Drosophila melanogaster: one gene and its partners. The protein of the gene in region 2 interacts with the protein of the main gene of each other region in a pairwise test. Each region holds a gene or a part of one and is shown on either strand. Other genes may lie near its edges.

Region 1 (8,241 bases), on a different chromosome or scaffold from region 2:
CGTATTTAAGTGGATTTCAAGCACTTACGTATACGCGATGCAATAGGACCACATTACGTATACGCGTTGTTTTTCACAGCACATATGGTGGTGCTTAAATCGAAAGTGAACGTCACGCTTATGTCTGTCATTCACGTTGCGATTTTATTATAGAAATTCTCATAATATCTTGGCCGTGTTTTACACTCCTATTAAAGCCGACTCCTCCACTTCGGCTCCAACCTAATCAAAGTTTTCCCGTCCCATGACTGGGATTTTCCCCTTAAAATGGACGTCACGTGCGGTTTGCGACTTGCAACTCCTTTTTTCCACATCGGTCATTCTTCATTCTGATAAATACTCACCAAAGAACACATTGAACAGAAAAAGCAGCTTCTTTTTGCGGAAATCGGAGATCGACATTATTGTGTTGGTTTTTTTTTTTGTGTGTTTGATTTACCGCTGGTTGTTTTCTTTATTGAGCTTATATTGGCTCACCACAGTTGCAACCGGAAATGGGGAACTGCAATGACAATGAAAAATACAATTAAACGGACATCGTCGATGGCAGAAAATGGCAAATGAAGAGTATTCGGAAACAAGGCTGCGTTTAAATTTAAAGTTCTTTCTCAATTAGGGGTGGTGCTGCCTCGTAAAAATAACAGTCTAGGAAGAAAAAAAATATTAAAACCAAAACTAGCAGAATAGAACCAGGGGCAGCAGGAAAACGGATTGGGTTAGCTCTAGTTGACTGGCTTGGTTTATGCCAGCTAATTCGGGCAAAGGAAATAAAACAGGACTGTCTAAGGATGCGAAAAGAGCGAAAGCGCTGTTGTGCGCAATGCAAATGCATCCTGGGGGAAAAGAGGCGGGTCGAGTGCCGAGCTAAAAGCGACACAAATGCAATGGCTTTGCCTCAGACAGCCCCCAGCCCCGCCCCCTTTGCGAGCGTGCGAGTGTATGCTTATGTGTGTGTTTGTGGGGCTCATGGCTCATTTAACCTTCAATCAGAAGCCAGTTGCAAGGCAGGGCCATGTGCTAAATTAGACAGAACTATATATGCATGCATGCATTGTGGAATGTATCTTGGCAGTGCAGACGCAGTAAACAGGCCCCCAAACATCAAAAGACCAGACCGGGCCATTGCCAGCGCTCAAAGCTGAAAGCCTGTGAAAGCCTTCGTGTTTGCATTAACTGCCTCTAAAAGAGTACCTCATATTCACAGCGTTTATGGGTGGCGTTACGCGAGTCTCAAGGGACTTTAAATCGAGTGCCGAGTGCTTTGCCAGAACCCTATCGGATTGAAGAAATTGAAAGAAATATAACGTATAAACTATATGTAATAAAATACATCTCCCGAATAGAATTTAAAGGCAGAACAAAACGCATCGTTCATGTTCACTATCTTTATTTGGAAGAGGCTTAAGTCATTGTACAAGCCTAGTAAATATTTGCCTTAGTTCATTTCGGGTATCCCTTACCCCAGAAACTGGTGTTTGTTTCGCTCAGCTAGGAGCCGCTAAGGTAGCCAAAGCATAATTCCACAACAGAGGGAAATTGCAGCGAGGATGTCAAGTGGAAAGTGGAATGCAATGAACATGACAACGGCAACGGTAACGGCAACGAGGATGCCGGGATGGCCAAGACAGCGTCGATGGCCAACGGCTGATGCCTGATGGCTGATGGCTAAAAGCGGACCACTTCCGTTTGGCAAAAATGCAGTTTGTCTCGGAAATGGAATTAAATAGAATTTCTCCGAGTCGAGCTTATCGAATTGGCAAGAGGCAAATTCAAATAAGACATCCGATCTAGGAACGGCGTAAAGGTTTCTGGTCAAGTGCGCGTAAATTTGACTCTTACTAAAGATAATATTATTATATTATTATGGCGAAAAGGTTGCCGTTTGTAAGCCAAGTCAGGGCTGAAACATGCAAGAAAATGGTGGGGAAATTGTTATTCTAATGGAAGAATTATCAATATTGGTTCTATTGCCTTCGGGCATCTGAAGTGCAGGTGAGTGCTGGCTTAAAAGTGGATTAGTTCAATTACAATTTATGAAAAACGGAATAAAATCAACAATATTACCCACATTTTATTTAAAATTATGTCATAGCAAGGTCAAAAGTTAAGAGTCAAAATAAATTAAAAAATAATCTGGCCCAGTATTCATAATGCTGTATATTGCAAAAATTCATAAGCTGCATAAGCCCTCCTTCCATTTTCCCTTAGAACGATTAATCTTGTGCAAAGCTGACTTTGGCAATGTTAATTGAATTCACAAATTTCGCTGTCATAAAGGTTAATTTTGACAATTATTGCAATAGGTTAAATCGCTTGTTTAATTAATAAATTAACGATGGCCTCAAACAATGCGGCAGCCGATGTCAACTTCATTTAGCATTTAATGCACACACATTTGCGCGCAAAAATCAGACTGTCACAGTTCATTAATTTCCCACGTGCGCCTCAATTAACATCAGGTGAAATTGGAGTGGTAGTATGTTGGTTAAAATAAAAAATGAATGCTGAAAAAATAATCCACATCTCAACTGGCTAAAAGTACACAAAAAGTGTAATATTCAATTTGGCGCCCTTTCCATCTCCATTGGCAATTGCAATTCCGTGAGTTTCTTTCCAGAAGGGAATGAAAAGTGCTTTTCAACTGAAATACAATCACGTAGCCAGGGGCATAAGGAAATTAATGTTTTTATACGGGAAAATACAAATCAATATGAGACCACTTGTGAAATTTGTTCGTCGTTTAAGACAAATGAAACCGTTTTCATACAACAGTTTGGAGCCAATAATATTCATCCAAAAATATTCATACTATTTAGTTCTGTTATATTCTGATATATTCTCTCCTAGCATAAATCTTTATATGTTTATAAGTTTATCAATGCAAATAAATATATATAAAAGGTGATATAAATGGTCTGCTTGTTCCAGGTCAATTGGAAACGGGATTAAGTTCGACTGGATAATCTACGAGCCTGCTAGCCAATGCATTGCAATGCAGTGAAATCACATTTCAGTAGCACTTTCGAAATGGCTACGGGAAATGGCCGTGGAAATTTAAAGCCTTTTAATAGCCTGATGTGCGTATTATTTATCCTCGCATTTAATAATTAAATATGCGCGCAAATTGAATTCATCGATGTCATTTGTTTTTCAGTTTTCCGCTGGGTTCCGCTTTGTAGGGCGCCGAGCACATTACGCATACGCCGTGTGGCGCGGAAGTTTGTTTGTCGCTGTGGCACGGTCATTTGTGCCGCCGCCTTCCCATTAATTACCAATACTCATGCGCCAATGCATAAAAGCCACGCGCTGTTTGCCACAAAACTGCGTCGGCTTTTGTGGCACGAGGCAACCACATTAACCAACATCACCGCCGAAGGCTCGTTAATTGGGTTCTGTTTGAGTTTCGCTTTCATTTTTCGGGCCATGCAGCGCAGCAACGAGTTTCTAATAATGGAAATATGGCGGAAATCCCAGACTTTTATCTCCTCTCCGGCAATTAATAGCCATCTGTGAAGTTATAAATTTCAATATGAAGACATCAATGCTTTAATTGCTTTTTTAGTATCGGCGCGCGAGATGCGAAATGGTTTCATTCGATACAGCAATTTATTGGGCAATCAAATTAGAGAACACCCTACCACTCGTTTATCAACACAATTTGATTTGCATAAACTGGTTCTTGTTTTTTGGTTTGGGCTGCAATGTGTTTATTATGCAAAATCTGAATTCCCGACAGGCGAGGGCAGGCAGGAAGCTCATAAATTATTAGAGAATAAAATGTGGGATGGGGTCCGAAAAAAATGCAGATAGCTGACAAATGTTAGGCAGTGCTGAAAAGTATGCTACACTCTGTCAGACATGCGATTGATCGATTTTCTGGACAAATTGTAGTAGTTTTGATTGCATCAGCATGCAAATTGGACAGTGGAATACGTATTTGGCCTGCCATTGGCAGGGAATCTACAACTCGGTTTGCTGATCCCAGCAGCAGCCTAATCCCCCCGATGACCAGATGACCCAATCGCTTTTCCAATTCTCACCCATCTTCATTCTCAATTCGAGTTGGACGATGGCACAGTTTTCAACCGTCGCTAATTACTTTTGCGCTGCCGTAAATTTGCGCAGCCAATTTAAAATAATAGACAATGCAAGTGGCGTCGCCGTTTGCTCTTTATCTGCTGATGCAGCTCCGGGAATTGTCCGTGGTCCGCTGTCCACTGTCCGCCGTATTCCGCGTCCACTATTTGCCTTTTGTTGCATTGTCCGGTTCGCAGTAATTTCGTGTAATTTGCATTAATTTACAGTTTGACAATTTACAGTTTTACAATTTACAATTTGCAGCCACCGAGGAGCTGTGGAGCCAAGGAGCTCACAATGAGCGGCCTAAGGCCACCGACGCATGCCTGGCCAAACAACAGGACCGAAAAAACAGACACAGGCTGGCTGACTGACTGACTGACTGACAGGACGAGGATCCTTAGAGCGGCAGCGTTCGCTTCTCCTTGGCTTGGCCAGAGCAAAACTTTGGCCACGCTTTCAATGAATTCATTATGGCCCTGACCAAGGTGGGGCGAAGTAAGAATATTCTTCCAGTTGTTAAATTGTCGAGAGGTTGGTTGTGTTTTTTGCAAAAGTACCTCCAGCATACCCTACCCCCACCTTTCTTTCACAAACTATCTGCCCACTCAAGGAAAACTGGGGCTCTGGTTCCTGTTGAGCCTCGCAGCTCTTTGAGCCACCCACTTGTGCTCGTTACTTTTGGCTTGTTCTTTTGTCGGTTTTGGAAATGGGCTTTTTCGAAAAATGTTGCGGCATTATTATTCTTGTAGCGGAAACTCTCAGCACAAACACAGGTGCACTAGCACTAGCACTCGCACACACACACACACTCACACACAGAGATAGACGTTAACTTTACCGTTGCTTCTAAACTGACTCTACACTTTCTGATTAAATTTTGGTACCCTCTCGAACTGGACTCGTCTGCTCGGCAGCGCGGTTGGCCGTCTTGTGATGCTCGTTGCCATCGAGTCAGCGGCTTTTATATGCGCTACTCGTCTGCGCCGCCATCTCTGCCAGCGTCGGCAGAACTCGAGCGCTCTGGGTGCTCTATGTCATCGCAGGGGCTTTATCTTATCGCAGTCGCCGTCTCGGTCGACTCTGCCGACGCCTCTGCACTCGTCATGGTGTGAGTGAGTGCTGCACCCGACACGAGCCTGTGTGTGTGTGTGTGTGTGTGTGTGCGTGTGTGAGTAAGTGTATGAGTAGATGTAGTGCATGTAGCGTGCTTTTTGGCCACCACGTGCACTGTTACGAGCCGAACATCGGCATCGCCGTCGTCATCAGCATGCGGCATATTTGCTCGTGGGTTTGTTTTGGGATTTGACACTCGCAGAAAACTCCATGCTGGGCGCTCTGGTAGCCGGAATGCACTTTATATTTTGGTAATTAAATGGCACGTCTTATCGGAGCGGCATTCGCATACAATGTTGGGCTCAGGGGTTACGACGCCTCGGGTGGCCAAAAAGACACTGAGGGATGTGTGCTGGCTTTCTCGTTTAGTTACTACCAAAATTTAGAACTGTTCTAGAGGTTTTCCTAAGCCAACTTTAAACGTTGATCGCCCTTTTATCGCAAAACTTTGTTCCATCGAAGAAGCAAAGTCTAAGCTGCACAAAAACAATGATAAAGCCGAAAAGGAGGCAATCTATTAGTCAACATAAATTACTAATTTACCAATAAACTATAGCACGCTCCCCATAATACAGCAAACGTATACTCGAAGATAAATCAACATAATAATTTCTTCTGGGAAATAATTCAATTAATTACAACTTGGCAAATAAACCCCAAAGGATTTAAAAGAAATTGAGTTTTGCTAACAGCACATTATGATCACGATGATGTAGATGAGACCCAATACAACATAATACTCGTACAGCATCCACCCAAATACATCGACATTGTTTGCAGTGCACCACAACATAACAAATCAAAATGTGCAAATGTTCTGGACAAATTTTTAGCATAGCCTTGACACACACACAATAAACTGAAGCACTCACACAGGCATGCTCTCCCTTAAAAGAAGGCAACACGGACACACACAAACACATAGGCTGGCTGTGGACTCAACTTGGCTAAAGTTAATTTGGCCCAAAGAAGAAGGCAGCCAAAACAGCTGCTGCAAGAGCAGCAGTAGCAGCAATATAAGGCACACTTGGCGGCATAATTTCTGTTGGCGCATTCAATCTTGTCCAAGAGTGGACCACCAACCGACGAAAGTGGCTAGAACCGAAAAAAAAATGAAAGCATTTTGGCCAAGCAATTTCCAGGCTGTCTGCTGGGTTTTTAATTACACAAAGCAGACATATACAGCTCATGTATTTCAGCTGTTAATTGTCAAGTTTCGGCTGAAATGTCGCTACCAATTTATCAAGCGCCTCAGGAGCAGGCTCCCCGTGCCTTTTTGGCCCACATCCTGTGCTTCTCGCCCAGCGGGTGTCCTGCAGCCTCTGCTTGTTCCACTTTCACGCTGTTCCAGCAGCAGCTGATGCTTATTGCAGATGACCGTTTTACCAATGTTTCGTTCCGGCCACCTTGATTTCTTTTTGTAAGTGTGTGTGTGTGTGTGTGGGAGCGACGGTGCGTGTTGGAGTGGGCAAATGTTTAAATTTGTGGCCTTTTTACCTCTTTGCATCTCAAGTGGCCAAAGGCTACGTCCTGTGTGTGTGTGCAGGAAACGGAAGCCGACATTGACACAGTTTGAAATTAACATGAGCCTGGCCAAAGACCCACTAAAATCTTGAATGCCTTCTAGCGTTTGGCCCCATTTCACAACGTTTAGCTGTCCACCTATTTCATGTAGTTTTTTTTTTTTTGTTTTTGGGCTTCCATTCCACGTCTGCTGCATCGCCTCTTCCCTTCATTTTGCTCCGCCGCATAAGTGGGACCACTAAACGTTCCGTTGTGGCTCACACACGAGCGGACGAAGTACACTGAGAAAAGTTGCTCCAAAAACCCAGTCGAGCAACTAGCAAAACAACAGTAAAAGGCTATATGATTATGAATATATAACAGTGGGTCAAATTGTATGGGAGTAAAAATCACAATTGGTACATTGGCAATATGACTTAAGAATCAATAAATTCATCGTTATGTTTTATCCCACTTTTAAATATATTAAATACCCCTCCAAATCAACAGAAAAGTTTCTTTCCTTCCTTTTAGTAGTAAATGTAAAATACGTAAATTAAAACTTGAAAACTAATTAATATTTTTAATGGTAATTGTAAAATCCTTAAAGTGTAGGCACATTAAAGGTGCACGGTAACGGCAAATTATTTGAGTACAGCAGGGCTGCCACCCAGGACCCTCAGCTGCCCTCCTCCCCCGCATATGGTTCAGCTGCTCCAGCTCCCGCTGGCCACCTTTGTGCGGAGGACGTTCCGTGCCAGCCAGCCACACACTCGTCGCTTACCTGCTCGGCAATGGCAACTTGATTAGACCAACATGAAATTAAGTAATTTTGCTGTATTGTTTAGTGTTCCAGCTTGGCAACAAAAGTGGGTGGTGGCAGATGGGTGGCCCTCCTCCGGTAGCAAATGGCAGCAATGGACCCCACAATGGCCACCGAGAACAAAGCGGGTCACAAAAGAAACCACCAAACAAACCGAATTTAATGAAAACATTTGTATCCCAGCCGAGGATGAGTCTCCGGCTCTGGACTCTATGGAAAGAAAAATAGAAGAAAATAAATCATTTATCTTGGAGCAGCGAAAAGTTTGTGAATCATATATGAAATTCCATTTGCACCCAGTGGATGCCACCGAGATAAGCTCCGTAAAAAATCAAGCACACGCTCAGCAGTATTTTCATATAATAGAGCTGGCTGATGCCGAATGCAAATCTCGTGTGCCATCATGGGCAACTTAAACCAAATTGCATTTACCTCCATTGCAGCAGCACTCACTGCCGTTTCGAAGGAATCATCTCATTTGGCATAATCAGAAGCGGAACACTTGTACCATGTGCCATGAATTCTCATATCGCAAATGGCGAGTAAAACAATTTGAGTGTTTCGGCGAAAGAAATTGCATATAATCCACCGAAAGTGGAATTCCCTTTGAATTTAAATGTGCCGCGAAAGGCGAGCAGCCGAAAAAACGTTAGGGCAATACGTTGACCCCTCCTAATTTCCATCTCCCAGCCAAAGGTCCTCCGTCCACTGATTTCACTGGG
Region 2 (7,205 bases):
GTCGTGGCGCCTTCGCCGGCATTTTCTCGTAGGCAGACATTATCCGTTTGTCACTATTGATTCTATTGTTTCGAATCCTGGTTCAGCACACACCGCACGGCCAGTTGGCTCGGAGTTAAGTCGACAACTAACCGAAGATGTCCCAATGCTGAGCCAGAAAAACTCCGCCCGGCAATGGTGCTAATGGCGGGTTTTTGGGTATCTAGAACATCCATCCGTAGTGGCTCGTTGAAAGGTGCTAATCCGCGGGCCGCGTGCATCATCGTTATTGGGCCAGTGCTCCAGTTTCGATTTAACGGTTCATCCAAGCCACCAAGTGCCGCGGCAATTAGCACCATCCATATCACCAATGTAGCCAGTACTACGATCCCATCCCATCCGATGCTAACTTCCATTCTCCATTCAGTTATGCATAATTCCCGATTTTGTTGTTCGCCACAAATTCGTTTTTTTTTTTCGCGGTGAAAGTGTGCAATATGATTCTCTTTCCAGAAGATGGACTATGGAATTTAGGAAATCGTAATTGGAATGGCTTTGTGCCGTTGGAGCACAAAGATCCACGCCTGTGGAGTGGCCGCCATCGAGGTCCGTCGTCGGTCGTGTGCCAGGCGAAGATCACGATCTAGGAAGCTGCATACATGCCCATATTTAGACACAAATCGTGGCAAGCGTGCGACTTTCATTAATGGGGTTGAAAAGAAATCTATTTCTACAATTAAGATACGTTAAGTCAACATCAATGGGGTGTTTGTACATTGGTGAGATCGCCTTAACGATTCGAAATTTGAAGACAACACCATTTTAAAAATGCTAATACACAGTTTTTTTTGGGAAATTGGTATACTACACAAAGTAACCAAAAAGAAAGGATATCGTATTAGAATATTGTATACACATATGAGCTTATCATAGTTTATTATATAGATACATATAGGTAGCCACCTATTAAAACTCATATCTTAGAAAAGAAAGCGATGTTAACAATTTTATTCTTTAATGCGAATTGAAATGAAATGAAAATTGCTCATGTTATGAAGTTAGTATTTAATCTTAAGAGCGCAACTAGAAAAGTGCAATCACGAAGTACATATGTACATATGTACATATGTATACATATGTATGTATGTATATTCGATGTACTATCTTACCTTCAAATCTTACATACACATAAATATGAATGTATGTATGTATGTAAATATGTATAGACCTCAACTTCTATCGATTTCTAGACTTTACTGAACTATTAATGCGTCATATGTTTACCGGCGAAACGCAGCGTGGCAAACTAGTTTCGTTACCCCCAAAATTGTTTACTCGTTTTTTAGACCTCTTGCTTGTTTTCCTCTAAAAAGCTCGATTGTAAATTTTATTTGTTGATATTGCTTTGTTTGAAACCGCGGCGATAATGTTTATCTATCGATTTTGTTTTACTTTTGTAATGCGAGTTTAACGAATCTTTAATTTAGAAATACATTTAATAAAAATAAAAAACCGATTCTAAGGCACTTTTAACACGCAATATATTGCAATGTTTAATTTTATAAAAAAACAGGTTTTTCATCACCTTCTATTTGTTTGAAGTTTGGAACACCACATTTTTAGATAGATCAATGATTCAGACGAAATGCTATTTAATGAAGATAAGGAATATTTATGACTAACCAAAATGCGAATTTAAACATACATAAGAGTCTTGGAATTTTAATTGTCAATATGTTCGAACAATTTCATTAATATGCATTATAGCAAAACCACCTGATCGAGAGTCTGTTTTATTGTTTACCAAATATCAACAACGCAATTCAAAAAGCCGGCAAATGGCGTTTATAGAGAGAGAGAGAGCGAGAGAGAGGAGAGAATTCCATTAGAGTGGACCTTTCTGGAAAAGTTTGTTCGGTTTATTTTTGTACGTGTGCTTGTTTGTTTGTGAGTGGAAAATAACATAGCTTTTGTAATTTTGGACACCTAATGTAAAAATATCGTTTAGTATTGAAAGTCAATAAAAGCGGCGCAATATTCATAAATGCAACCTTACACGCAAATTTAAACCGGAAGAAATGATGCAGGAATATGTGTGTGCAAGTTTAATTACCTGTGTAACTGGTGAACTTTCAATGGAAGGTCTCGGGAATATTTCCGTTTGCAAACTAACATACATACATTACATACACAAATAAATATGTTCATACATGTTCTCTTTTTGGTCGATCGCTGTAAACAAAGAAAAAAGTCGACTGCAACTGCTTTTGCGATAATCGAGGAGCTGAGTGCAAATGAGTTCAACTAAAAGGCTATAAATATGCACAACAGCACACCAACGGCATTCAAAAAGCTCTCTCGCTTGGAAAGGTGCGCTGCAAATGCAAATGAAAATAAGACGACCAGGCTATTCAGTTTTGGTTTTCTCTTTATTTTATATGTATTACCTAAGTCAAACTTCATTATTTGAAACGCTCTAAGGCTTAGCAACTAAAACTTGCAAGTCTGAATTAGTTTAGGAATATATTAGAAGCTAAGAGTAGTATGTGCCTTTCTTTTTTTGTGTTTGTGAAATTATAAGCGAAATAAAATTATTATAATGTTCACAAAGTTTAGCGCCGCATGAAAAGCCAATGCACAATACAAATGCAATGTGTATTTCCAGCTGGCTTTTGTTTTTCTTTCTTTCCTTCCAGCAAAACTGCTGCTTGTTCTTCTTTTTCTTCTCTCCTTTGCTTTTGCTTTCCTTTTAAATTCGAAGATTTCTTTTCTCCTTTCAGCGCGGCCCCGTTACTTCTTTCTCTCCTGTTCCACCGCCTCCGTCGATGCCCTGCATCAGTTCTTGCAGGCGGCGGCTTTCTTGTTGTTGTTGTTGGTGTTCATCAGCTTGGTCAGAATCTTGCGGGAATGACCGGAGGGATCGAAGTGGTTGGTGTGCTCATTGGCCTCCCTCTTGTTGCGCTGCTTGCCGCTGTGTCCAGAGAAGATGTGCTTGTCATGGTCGAAGTTGTAGTGCTCGTACTCATCGAAGTGGGCCTCGGACATAATGGCGATTTAAGGTTGCAAAACTAACTGCGTTCTTGGTTGGTGTCTGCTTTTTGTTTCTCTGCAAACTTGCAGGCTGCTTTCCAAATTTCTCTTCTGCTTTTTTTTGTTCACTTTTCGCTGAGCTGCGAACGGAATTGAATTTTTTCGGTCGAGCAGCGGCTTTTATAGGCGCGCAAGCTTTCTGTTCCGTAACCAAAGCTCTCTCTCCGTCAGAGTTGCCGGATTTAGCTAAAGAAACTACTAGAAGGGCATTTAATTGTTGCTTACGTGTAGTTACTAAAAATATTTAATTTTTCTATAACTTTCTACTGAACTTTTACAAAATATATTTGCTCTTTTTTATGTAAAAGAATTTTTAGTTATTAAAATTCATAGTTATTGGGCCTGACAACCCTTTTGCGCTCAAGAGAGTGCCTCCTTGACAATTTTTGCTGCGCAATTTAATTTTTTGCTGTTTACAAAGTGCGCGGTAAACAAAAAAACTGAAATCGCCAAACATATTATTTCGCCTTGTTCATTTATTTTAATAATTTAAGAACTTTTAAGCATACACACGTTCCTGAGTGGTTACATAACACACACCCACCTTGGCCCTCCGCAAACGACCATCAAAGTGCATTTACCCTGCATTTGTTTCTCCACCCAATAAATATAGAATTAAATGCATCATATGTTCTGGATACACTGCTCAAAATTTGTTTATTTTTTTACACTCAACAATATTTGAATGTTAGGGCACAAGAAACAATTTAGCAATAATTATAATTCGAATAACATTTTTGATTTACAAAAGATATACTCATAATGGATATTTATTTTGGTGCATTAGAACCTGATCGGTTGACCCACTTCCCTCCCACCAGGCAACGCATTTGTTTATTTCTGAATAGCGAAAAGCTTTCAGTTTGTTTTGGTTTAATGGATTTTATATAAACAAATGTTACGTACATACATATATACATAGCCTTCTGGCGTTGATAAGGTGCTAACTATCGCTCTAGTTAGTCATTTGGCAGGTATTCGTTCTGAAAGTTCGTCTTCAAACGACGCAATAGATCGTAGTCACCATCTTAGATAAGATAGAACGGCCTCAACAATGTTGTTTCAAGAACCTGCCACAATATACCACTTTATTTACAATTCGTTGGTAGCAAATCAATCTTTAGATTTCTCGATGGTTCTTTTTTAATGGCTTTAAAAAGAAACTGGGTTTCCGTGAATATTCTAGATACAATTTTGTTGTACTAGAACTCAGAACGAGAGATCCCACGTCTCATTTTGTAAATATAGCAAATGTTCTAAACTTGCTGATACAGTCTCTTTTCAACATAGTTATTCTAAATATTTACTATTGACCTTTGCCTCACAAATCTCTTTCTCTGAGAAGTTATGAATGGGGTAACCTTCCGTTTTATTCCTATTCTACAGTCTCCTTGGGCAGTAGTGTTTTCAGTCGCTTGTCAGGATTAACATTCCTTATAGTCTTGCTCTTAACACTCTTTGGCTTCTTCTTGGGTGACGTTTCGATCACGGGAAGCTCAAAGTCATCGGGAAAGCTACTGTCCACCGTTTCCGAGAGCTCCAACTGCACCGGTTTCTCTGTGTGAACCCGCTGCACGTGCTCCTTCATTTTGTCGGAGCGATGACTGCTGAATCCACACAGCTGGCACTTGTAGCGGTTCGGACCATTCTCCGTGTGCTTGAGGGCGTGACGCTTGAGGTTTTTGCTCTGGCTGAACTTGCAGCCACAGACCTCGCAGATAAAATCGCGACCCTGTTTGTGAGTTTCAATGTGCAATTTGAGGTTCTCCTTGCGATTGGCTCGATGCTTGCAGCCTGAAACTGTGCACGCAAAGAATTCTCCGGTGTGAAGCAGTTTGTGCGACTTGAGGGCCTTCATGTGCGTGGTGCTATAGCCGCAGACGTCGCAGAGCATTTGCTTCTCGGGATTGTGGACCAGGATGTGATTGCTCAGGCCCTGCTTCCACTTGAAGCCCTTGCCGCAATGTGGACATATGTGCGGCGTTTCCGTGGAATGCTTAGGCTGATGGACGAGCAGGGCAGCTCGTGTGTTGAAGCGGATGCCGCACTGTAAGCAAAAGAAGGGCTTACGCAGATCACCAGAGTGCCGTCGTAGGTGAGTGTCGTATTCCCGCCAGTCCAGAAAGCCGACTTCGCACAGCGAGCAAATCAAATGGGAGGGCTCACAGCTGCCCATGTGCTCGATCATTTTCTGTACCTGATAGCACTTGAAGTCGCAGCCAATGCAGTAGTTCACTTTGCTGCTGGACTTTACAGCTCGCGGGTTCTTAAGCTTTAAGGAAAAGGCGAATATAAGTTACGGCAGTGGCTCAATGACATATTATCCACCTTGAAGTAACTTTGTCGATTCTCAAACACAGCCTCCGCTTTCTTTTCTGGATCTGGATTTGGTTGCGCCTCTCCAGGTGCTGGGATCTCCGTTGCTTCCTTCGCCTCGCCCAAGGGCTGCAACTGGTAGAGATTCAGTAGTTCTGTCACAGCCAAAATTTGCGCTAGCTCCCTAAAATGCAGTTCGTGCTCCTTGGACACGGACACCAAATCCTCGTAGAAGAAGTCCACAATTGTGTGCAGGCATTGGGTGCAGCTGAAATTACGGATGGTGATCTTCAGCGGATTGTGAATGGAGAACTGCTGTTGCTTCTGGTTAGAGTTTATAAACTGGCTCTGAGCAGCCAGTACGCAGAAATGGACGCTTAAGCTGAGGGAATCATCCGAATCCAGTTCGAGGAGCAGGTCACAGAATTGTCCGGTTCTTCGCTGATTGTTTAGATAGTTCGATACCTTGGAGTGTAGCGGCTGGTGCAGAGTGGGTATGGATTGCATTGTCTGTGAGTGCAGCATTTCTGCAGCTTAGATAATGCTACTAGCACTCGATATAAACAAAATAATCAAATGTTTTGCTTTAGGACGGCTAAACAGCTGTTCAACAGTGTGACCAATATGCGCTACGGTGTATTAAAATACTGACTAGTATTTTTCGACCGTTACTTTAAAAATGGGAATTTAAAAGACAGTTCTTAAATATTTGTTTAAAAAACTTAATTAATTATTTAATTATTATGTAGTCAGCACATACACACATTTACACATTTTTAGTTATTTTAAGATTAGATATTTTTAAAACTTATTGTTTTAGATTCTTAGAAACCTTTAGAACATTATAAAAATTGGTTTTAAAAAATGCTTTTTAAAACTTTCAACTTTCAAAACTTCAAAACTTTAAACCTATAAAAAAGCCAATGAACTTTACAGAATATCAAACACCGTCATGGGTGTTGAATTGAATTGTTTATTTATGTTTTGACACTCAAACATCAGCGACTTGCAGGGAAATTGGAAGAGTTAAACAAATAATAGGGCCCGCTTAATAAGCTCTTCTCAGTTCTGTTCGAACATTTGAGCGTCAGTTGAGAGGAGACGTTGGTTTCGGAATGTCGGCCACACGAACAGATCGGTCGCTTTTGCATTAATTTATTAGTCGGTGCGGAGTTAAATCAAATCATAACGCATCCATTGTTTAGCTTCCTATAGGAAATACGCTTGCTTAACCTCCGGCAAATTTGTTTGTGTTCTGAATTACCAAAGGCCAACGAACATTACACTGCCAATTAAAGTCGAGTGCAAATAAATAGGCTGAGAATTTGCCCACCCACTATTGTTTGAAATCTTATCGGCTTCGAATCGCGGTCAAATGTTCTTTATACGCAGTCATTGCAATTGTGCTGAAACCTAATCCTTCGGTTAGCATAACGGCTAATTACTGGGAATCCCAAAGTAAATAGAAATTTAGCTTAATTTACACATATCTTTCTCGCTAAGCTCCCCCGTGCCAGGTTCCAATTTTCCTTTATAACTGGCGCCCCCATAAACAGCACATAGCATAGATAAGATCTACCTGTGCCAAGTTATTTGGGGTCTGGGTCGCAGATCATTGAGTGTGGAGCTCTCGACGCGAACGGTTGATCTGGTCTGATCTCTCGGGGTGTCGTGTTTATATTACTGCTCTGATTCCGGAACGCCGATTAGCGTCAGTTGCAATCACCGCGAATCAGCAGGGTAATTCAATCAGAACGATATGGTGGGAAAAGTTCTACGCCTTGCACTGGTGCTGCTGCTCCTCGCCTCCTGGACGAATG
Region 3 (9,278 bases), on a different chromosome or scaffold from region 2:
CAGTAGGCACTCGCGAATTGGGAAAAACGTATGATAAACCAAGCCAGTTTAAACAGTGGCAAGCATAAAGTTAGTTAAAGCCTATGCCGAAATATTATATAATATAATATGTACATAAATAGATAATATAACACATTCAATCAAAAACCAACGTTGATGAGTTAATCCGCTGAATGCTAAATATTGTGTCAATAAGCTATTGTACGTATTGTTCACACATTCTATGCGTTCTTGCGTCTGAAAATGTCGACCTATTTATTTTTATGGTAGTAATAAGTTTTTATTGCTTTGCCAACAATTGTATATTATGTACATGTGAGTTTTACGTTTTAAAGCAGAAATTGTTTACTCACATTAAAACAAATCTAGAAGAACCTGAAATGTAACTCATTTAAAAAATTTCATAAATGGTCGCAGTAAATGCAGTTTTAAACTTAACTTCATTTGGTTCCTGCGCACCAGGTTCCACTGTACTGAAACATTGGTGCCGTGTATGGCCAAAAATCACAGTGCGGGCGGAAACTGAGTGCCGTCATCAAAATACGCACACACACACACACACGTTGGAGAACACGGGGAGAGAGCAAGATAGAAAGGGGCAGACAGATGAAATCAGAAAAAGGAGAAAAGGAGGAGGAGGCAAACGGAGTGACAGCTGCCCCATTCGCATCCGGGAAAAAGTGGCCGCTAAAATCATTTGTTAAGTGCGGTGGCCATGACAACTGGACCAAAAGTCGGAGGGTCCTGCTTCTGGTCAGATTTTTCAATTTTTACATCTCCCTCTGTGCAGAACGCACACACATATGCAAGTATTTCCATCATCATCCACACCAGCAAACAAAACAAGAACAACAGCCGTGTGCAGCCTCCTGCCCCCTTTTACACGCAGAGAAATAAAGTATAGCAAGTCGAAATTTAGTCGAAATACATTTTAATGCAATTTTATTCATCCTCTTGCTTGATAAGGCTAAATAATATGCTTTTATAAAAACAGACTGCGTTCGAGACCCTCAGCGAAACTTTTTCTAACGAGAATAACTTTTCGATATCAAAATAATTTATTCATTATTTCGTCCAGTGCATCCATTTCGCTTCCGTGTTTCGAAATTCAATTTATGTATACTTTATGGAGCCGTAGCCGGCTCCCCAAGCTCCATTTCGCCCCCCCTTTTGCCCAGTGAGGCGGAGAAAATTGTAAGTTCAGGAAAATCGATTTTCTTGTTGTATTTTTTCTGCCGTTCTTCATTATTTTTTTGGCTGGCTGCAGACATGGCTAATTGGAGTTCTTTTTGTTGGCATCAGCTCGTGAACTGAATGCTGCAGTTTGCATCTTTACTCACCTCGTTGCGCTATTTTTAATGCACCGGATTCGGATTCGGATTGCCTGTTTCGGGGATTCGATTCGGGACTCTCCTGCCCCACTTCCCCACTCTTTTGGCCAAAGAAATTGCGTCCAGAGAGCGACACTCACACTCGCACGCACAAACACACGCACGTACACACGACTGCAGCAATGTTTCTCTTCAATTGCAGAGCGCTTTTTTATTCTATTTTCACGAGCTCACTCGCGATTTTACGCACTTCTTTTCGGCGACAACTATTTCGTTTGAGATAGTAATTCCGTGGAGTAATTATGCTTCACATGCTGCCTGTTTTCCGAACACTTTTCACTTTTCTTTCTTTTCTATGCAGCTGAATGGGAGCAGAAAACAAACGCAGCCCTAACGGCACCGAGTTGTGGTTGTTGTTGGCTAGGCAGTGTGACCGCAACTGAGGGTGGAAAAGAATCCGTTGCGGAAAATATACCGAAATGTATCTTGTGGATTCATTTGCAACAGCTGCGCTGCCACAACCATCGTGGGTAGCTAGAGATGGCACAATACCAATTCGATATATGTACAACCAAACATATTCATTCCATATTTAAAAAGTTTTCGGTTACTTTCAGATCCATTCAATTAAAAGCGGTTTATCTAATTTGTCCCCATATGGTGGTTTTCCATTTGACCAATATTATGACGATTTTTTAGATTAATTGTATGATTCCATCTATATGTAATGCATTTTACATGCTAACGTAAAATAGCATGCAGCTAAGTTCGAAATTTCGAACCCAATGGTCTGGCAACGCCAAAGCGGCTTACCGGCTGTTCAGGCGGTATTATTCGGACTTCATGCGGTCATACTAACTGGAAATTACTTAACATGCTGCAAGGAATGCTCCAAAGGCGAGTAAATAATGAATATACCATTTATTTTGAGTGGTATAATAACATACATTGGCATTGCAGGACCTGCCTGGCGGTTGTCAGCACCGCACAAACTCTAATCGTGCGGGATAAGCACGCTTTCAACCGGGCGGTGCTGAAACCGAAAGTACGCTGCCATTTTCCGAAACCCATGGAGGTGAAGAGAATTAATGTCCACGGCTGGAATGCTAGGATGTCGACGCCTGAGGGACGACGAGTGCTGATGAACCGGATCCTCAAAGGACGTCACAATTTGTCACACTAGCCTTGTGTTAATAAACCTAACTTTATTTACAATGTTATCCGATTGCGATTGCTACAGTAAGCTCAGTTTTAGTTTCGTTGATTCGCTGGTACTCCCAGAAAGGCTGGCGCTCGATGGTAGATCTGCTGAATACTCTTCGAAGATTTCGAATCGTCAAGGATGAACACGAAGGGCACACTGCTGGACACACCTTGGCCCTGATCCCGAAGGAAGCCCTGCGGCAGGGACTGTTCCCCGCCGAGGATAAGACAATCCACCAGGGACATCTTTTGTAGCGGCATTGCTGGCACCAGGTATAACTCCTTGCGCTCGTAGTCGATGGCGCGAACCACACCTAAAAGAATTTTGGAATTCAATTAATAAGCCACAAAAGAACGTGAATGTGTACAAACCTATTCCCAAACATTGGGGCAGACCTGCTCCGTGATGGCACAGATATACTACATTAGCCTCCATGCCTCGAATCAGTTCTTCGCGCGAGTAATTCTTGCTGGTGGGATGCAGGATTTTCAGGGATTCCAAAGACACTCCCAACGGCTGGCAGTCTGTAAGAGATTTGGCATTTCCAGTCAGGCAGGAACTGAGACGTGCCAGAAGATTGGAGTACCGCATGTCCTTGGCGCTGAGACTCCAAGTTCCTTTTTCCCTTGCAGGCACTGCACTTATCAGCTTATGGAGTGTGTATTTTGGTATTTCATTGATCTTGAACTCCTCCGCAGAGTATATAATTGGTTTTATCTGCGACAGACTGTTCCGGTCGAGGACAGAATCAAAGTTATTGATTGGAATGGGACTGGCAATCTGTACAAGATCCGTGGGACGAATGCGATCCACCAGCAGAGCCATCAATTCGATACCAAATCCCTTATTATAGCCCATCGTATTTATCAGCCAAGGAATATTTGAATACTTGGCATCGTTCTGAATGTTTTGGACTAGCTGAATAACTGCTCGGGCATACTGCTCTGCGCACAAGACAATGTTGGTGTGGCCCACGACAATGGCATGTTCCGGCTGCCTGTTGTACAGGAAGCCCGGTCCCAGAAGGGGCTCATCAATTACGGTGCAAGAAATAGTCTGGGGTACAAATATTTCCGGCTGACCAATGTCCAGGTCGATGAGCAGCATGGATGGGAATTGACCCAGATTTCGGTTGATGAGGTAACGCAATAAACTAGACTTTCCGACGCCCTTACCACCGGCTACGATTATTCGGCTCGTTGCATGCATTTGTAACTTATTCCAAACCTGCGGAACTTGGAGAGTGCGACTTTGATCGCTCGATTGAATCAGACAGTGCAACAGGGTTTCACTTTGGCCAAATGGTCGATTGGAAGAATTGACAAGTGGGAATACATTTTGCGCCATGTGCTTGCCAAAGGTATCGACGAGCTGCTGGGCACTTGTGTTTCGGTGGAGCAGTACTATTGCATTCGTCTGACGCTGAAAGCTGGTCTTAATCCTGTCTAGCTGGGCGCGTGTAAAGTTCTTGTTGAGTTCTTCCCAATTTACCTCATCTTTTACAGGTTTTTTAGTCTTGGTTGGCGAAATAGATACCCAATTAAGGCCTTTAGGAGAATAAATTGTGATTGCTTCCTGCCTGCGTGCTCTGTAACCATTTACTGATATTTGACCACAGAGTAGAGTCAACACTAGTGTGCCATAAACTTCGAGGTCCTCCTTAATCACGGCCAGCACATGATTGCTCTTCAGACTGTTCTCAAAGACGCTAAGCTCAGTGGGATTCGCTTGCGGATTTCTGTAAAACGGGACATCGCTTGGTTGGAGATAATTTTCCTTTTCTGGTGTTACAACTTCAGGCAGTGATACCTCATCATTCTCTTCGGTTTCAATTGCAACTTCAGACTCCTTCTTTGGGGGCACACTGCTTAAGTTTTTTACAACAATATCCATAACACTTGACTGTTCAATACGTTCTTGCTTTTTTTCCACAGGCGGATCGTCGAAGATTTCCTCTATAATAAGCGGCTCTCTTTGCATACCCACAGGTGGATGATCGAAGAATCCCTCAATGTCAGGTGGCTCATAAGTTGAATCGAGGTCGTCGGTGTCGAAGATATCGCTTCCGAATTCTTCACTATCGCTGTCACTAACATCCTCCATATCGCTATATTCACTGTAGAAATCTCCATCACTATCATAGTCTGCGCTGCTTGTGTCTTCACTGTCAGACTCTTCGCTGTCAAATTCCTCCGATCCAAAGTCATCGCTATCTTCTGGCTCATAATCAATGTCATCTTCGTCGCTGTCAGTTTCTTCCTGTGCACTTTTAAATACCTTAATCTTTCGAACTGTTCCACTGCCATCCCCATCCAACAAAAGAGGTTGGTATTCATCGTGTTCAAAAGGAGGAAGAATATCTGATAACTTGTATTCGGGGCCTTTGCATTTGACCTTAAAAATCTTTGGATCTTTAAGAAATGTCTCGTCTATTTCTTCAACTACATCGTTTTCAGAGTCTAAAAAACATAGTTTAAGTTAAGAAACAAGAGTAATATTAAAAATTCCTTACCACTTTCAATTAAATAATCGTCTTCTTCACTCCAATCATCCAATGAATTCATTTCAATGTCACTTGTTTCCGCTGCAGTACCAATTATCTCTACTACTTTACCATTTTGTACGACCTTCATTGAGCTCTTGTTTCCATTTACCTTATGTTTCTTAGATAAACTTGCTTCTTTTGTTTTATTTGGCGTCTTGACTTTGGTTTTCTTAGGAGCTAATTCTGAAAAATACATATATATTAAAATAAAATGAGGTTGTAATTCTGGATCTAATGCATACCATTTATACTATGAACCTTGGGAATAGGAAGCTTAGCACTTTTGCTTGTTGCTGCAGATTTTTTAGCTGCAACATTTGAGGATTTATTTACAGGATTCTTTTTGGGTAGGGTATTATCCTTTTTAAGCCTCTTCTGGGATGGTGAACTGTCTGGATTCGACACATTATTGGAAAGAGGTCTCTTTGCGCCGGCTGTCTTATTTTTCTTGGATTTTTTGGGCGACTCCATCTGGGCTTTTTGAATCATTGTTTCCGAAATCTTTGCAGGATTGCTGGCCACCTTTGAAATAACTTTTTTCTTTGGAACAGCAGGTGGGTGTTGTGGTTTTTCCGGCTTACGGCGACCAGAGGCTAGTTCTCGCTGTTCGGTGAGCTGGAAGCTCAGTTTCATTTCTTTCAGAATATGTTCGTCAAGCATTCCTTTTCAGTTTTTTGCTGAACTACCAATACTTCCCGGGCCATGCGACCGCAAATTTAAGAAGAAGAGCAAGAATAACATATGTGCGGTGTTACCAGTCGTGGTCGGTCATGGGAATAACGCGCACAGAGTTGCCATCGATGAGAACTATCGATTGGGTTAATAACAGCCCTGCGCTCGAAGGCGTTGGTTGGTCATCGAGCGTTCATCCCGCTACCGAGAAATGAAACGGATGAACATTGTTCATCGTCATTTTGCATGGGAAAAAATCGTCGAGTTCAATTCGAATTTTTGTAATTGCATTAACTTTTATACGATATAGCTAAACGGTAGACGCATAAGAATCAACAAATTTGTGCCATTTTGTAAGCAAATTAAGTGTCGAATTCGTGCTGAGTGTTGTGAAATCACCAATATAAATTGTAAGTGGCCGAAAGAGCAGAAGTGAAAAAATTCCACACAGCACGCACACAAATGCACGCACGCCCAGCCAGAGGCGAACAGACACACGCACACACACACACACACAGCCATACCGAGAGTGGATGATGAGATGTTTTTGGAATAAAGTGTGAGCGGGACGGGCGCGGAGAGAGGAGTTTCCTGGAGTGTTGGAGAGAGGGGTGGAGAAGCGGGCGGCCCTATGACGCGACCAAAATGAAAATGCGAATGCGAAAAACCGTAAAGAAAAACGGGAAAAACTCGGCTAACGGACAATGGACAATGGCCAGATAAGAAAGAACCCCACACTTTATACTATTAGATCGCCGTCCAGCCGCAAGTATGACTAAGTGTGTGCGCGAGCGGGAGAGGGCTATCGGAAAAGAGAGCGAGCGCGCGAGTGTATTTGTGCTGTGTGTCCACCAGTGTGCGTGTGACTGTATGCGAGTGTGTGTGTGGCTTTTTCATTTTGATAATTTTTTGAACAGGCGCTCGTTCAGTTTTCGCGAATATATAAAACAGAACGGCTGACTCGGATTCGGAATCGAAAATTGTATTCGGATTCAGAATCGGACTCGGAATCCTCGGGCATCCGCTGCACTTGCATTGCATCTAGCTACAGTTTGATTTTGCCTTTTGCAGAACTTCCAATGACGACGATTCGCAAGAAATTGGTAATTGTCGGCGACGGTGCCTGCGGTAAAACTTGCCTTCTGATTGTCTTCAGCAAAGATCAGTTCCCCGAGGTCTATGTGCCCACCGTATTCGAGAATTATGTGGCCGACATCGAGGTGGATGGCAAACAGGTAAGCCCCTTTTCCCGGACAGGCCCGCCCCTCCCCTAACTACCCGTCCCGTCCACCACTCTGAATGCCACCCCCAACCGGTGGCTGACCCCCCTCCCCTGATAACCCCACCCTGCCATCCAAGTGATAATCGTCTGATCTCGTTTTATAATTTGTGTGCATTCTCAATTCATTCCGTTTTTCAAGTGCGCGTATCCTCCTTACACTTTCCACCCGCCTCTGTGTGTGTGTGTGTGTGTGTGTGTGTGTGTGCGGGTGTGTGTTCCCATGGGTGTGTGTTTATTGTTCTCTTGTTTGTGCCACCCACAACTTCACCCACACCTTGGTCGTTGTATTTCCTTTTCTTCGCCTGTAAAATGAAATGAGTCAATATCGCCTCATGCCCACAGACGCATCCATAAATAAAGGTGTCTGGAAAAGCAAAAGAAAAATTAAGATCATTTTTGGTTAAGTGGAGTGCAAATTTGGATTTTTCCGAAGAATTCAAAGTTTTGATAGCAGTGATTAAGTCACACTTGGGCACATTTCCCCACACTTACACGCACACATGCTCAACAGAGAGTTGGCAGCACACACACACACACAGAAGTAGTGCTGCTCCCTTCCTTCCGCTCGTTTTCTTTTCTTTTTATTTTGTATTTGTCTTATACAAGTCCGTTGCGCACATACAGTTTAATGCGTTGCGCCGCCCCCCGCTCTTTCTGCTGCTCTCTCGGGCGCTCTCACTCTTACTCTTTCTCCCTGCCTACCTGTACTCTCTTCTAAGGGGGGGGAGCGCTCTCCCGCTCCACCGCGCACTCCCTTACTCTATGGAATGTAATGTGCGTTTTCCATTGGGGCATCAAGTCATGATTTGGCTATATGTTCGTTCATATATTCCATTTGGGATCTACAGTATTTTCAGGCGCTTTTTTTCGAAATAAACACTGTGTGTTTGCCTTTGCTGCGCAATATGGCGGGTTTTCAATTTTCAGTTTCTGTTTGTGTTTCTGTTTGGATAGCGTTTACATACACACAAGTTCACGTCATTCCACTTCGCCTCGCTTCGATGTGATTAATTCGTTTGGCATTTCCGTCAAGTTCCTTGCTCACACTCTCGTACTCGCACTCATGCTATCTTCAACTCGAACTTGTCCCATTCTCCTCCGAGCCCGCATCGCACCGTCCCGTGCCACAAAAAGCCCCATCTATCTATAACCCTGACGACACCGCAACTGCAAGCGTAACTCTCAATCATAATCCGCATCCGATTCTCCAGGTGGAGCTGGCCTTGTGGGATACGGCCGGGCAGGAGGACTACGACAGACTACGACCGCTGAGCTATCCCGACACTGACGTCATACTGATGTGTTTCTCAGTGGATTCACCCGATTCGCTAGAAAATATTCCTGAAAAATGGACCCCAGAGGTGAGTTTAACTGGAATTACAGAACAGTTTCTATCAGACGATCGTAAACAAGTATGGTACTATATATATATATACTATACGGAACTAACAAGTCTAGACAAAATATGTTTTTAATTTTTATGTAATGATGCAAATTTGGAAAAAGTTGAACTTTTAACTCCAGTTAAAATATATTAAACATTTTTGAAGTTATCGAATGCATTTGCTTATGATATGGAATCTTTAAGACTATGCATCTCTGTGTTCTTGTTTATGTCATTGAAGCTATCTGAAAGACTGGTTTTGGTTTAGAACGAGGAAAGTTTAATAGAATTGTTGGTTATTTCTAGTTTAATCACTAAAAATAGTCTGCTATGAGCCAATTTGCTTTGACTTTCTGAATCATTTCCTTACTTCTCAGCCTTTAATTTATAATGATAGATATAGATAAGAAGAAAGTAAGTGGTTCCCAATTACGAATTACTTGTTTTTGCAGTTCGACTATATGGAATCTGATATCAAAATATGATACTAATCCTTACTACATTATTGCAGGTCAAACACTTTTGTCCAAATGTTCCAATCATTTTGGTAGGAAATAAGAAAGATTTGCGAAATGATCCCAACACAATTCGGGTACGTATACGCGCTGTTGAACGAGGTGAACTTGCAGCACTAAACTAAACTTGATTTTACAGGATCTAGCAAAAATGAAGCAGGAGCCGGTGAAGCCGCAGGAGGGTCGCGCCATGGCCGAGAAGATTAATGCCTTTGCCTATTTGGAGTGTTCGGCTAAGTCCAAGGAGGGTGTGCGAGATGTTTTCGAGACGGCAACTAGGGCCGCGCTGCAAGTCAAAAAGAGGAAGAAGACCAGATGCCTTTTGCTCTAAAAGAGCAAATCAAC

The links.
Region 1: the proteins of CG6770 (region 2) and Scp2 interact in a two-hybrid assay, tested with the Drosophila melanogaster proteins (one large-scale study listed by BioGRID).
Region 3: the proteins of CG6770 (region 2) and CG8414 interact in a two-hybrid assay, tested with the Drosophila melanogaster proteins (one large-scale study listed by BioGRID).

The regions. Positions count from the first base shown.
Region 1 is NT_033777.3:16,578,646-16,586,886, forward strand, and holds the start of Scp2 (sarcoplasmic calcium-binding protein 2), read right to left. Parts: upstream 5,019-8,241; 5' UTR 4,919-5,018; intron 503-4,918; 5' UTR 403-502; coding exon 345-402; intron 1-344.
Region 2 is NT_033779.5:12,042,952-12,050,156, forward strand, and holds CG6770 (uncharacterized protein), read right to left. Parts: upstream 3,168-7,205; 5' UTR 3,025-3,167; coding exon 2,815-3,024; 3' UTR 2,392-2,814; downstream 1-2,391. Other genes in the region: CG6785 (uncharacterized protein), read right to left, coding at 1-40; Plzf (promyelocytic leukemia zinc finger), read right to left, coding at 4,445-5,341, 5,398-5,910; PLCXD (Phosphatidylinositol-specific phospholipase C X domain containing), read left to right, coding at 7,145-7,205.
Region 3 is NT_033778.4:16,096,788-16,106,065, forward strand, and holds CG8414 (uncharacterized protein), read right to left. Parts: upstream 5,822-9,278; 5' UTR 5,741-5,821; coding exon 5,323-5,740; intron 5,264-5,322; coding exon 5,048-5,263; intron 4,995-5,047; coding exon 2,907-4,994; intron 2,849-2,906; coding exon 2,583-2,848; 3' UTR 2,519-2,582; downstream 1-2,518. Other genes in the region: mRpL34 (mitochondrial ribosomal protein L34), read left to right, coding at 2,206-2,228, 2,292-2,514; Rho1, read left to right, coding at 6,832-6,987, 8,246-8,395, 8,930-9,010, 9,073-9,264. UniProt on the Drosophila melanogaster protein: Polynucleotide 5'-kinase involved in rRNA processing.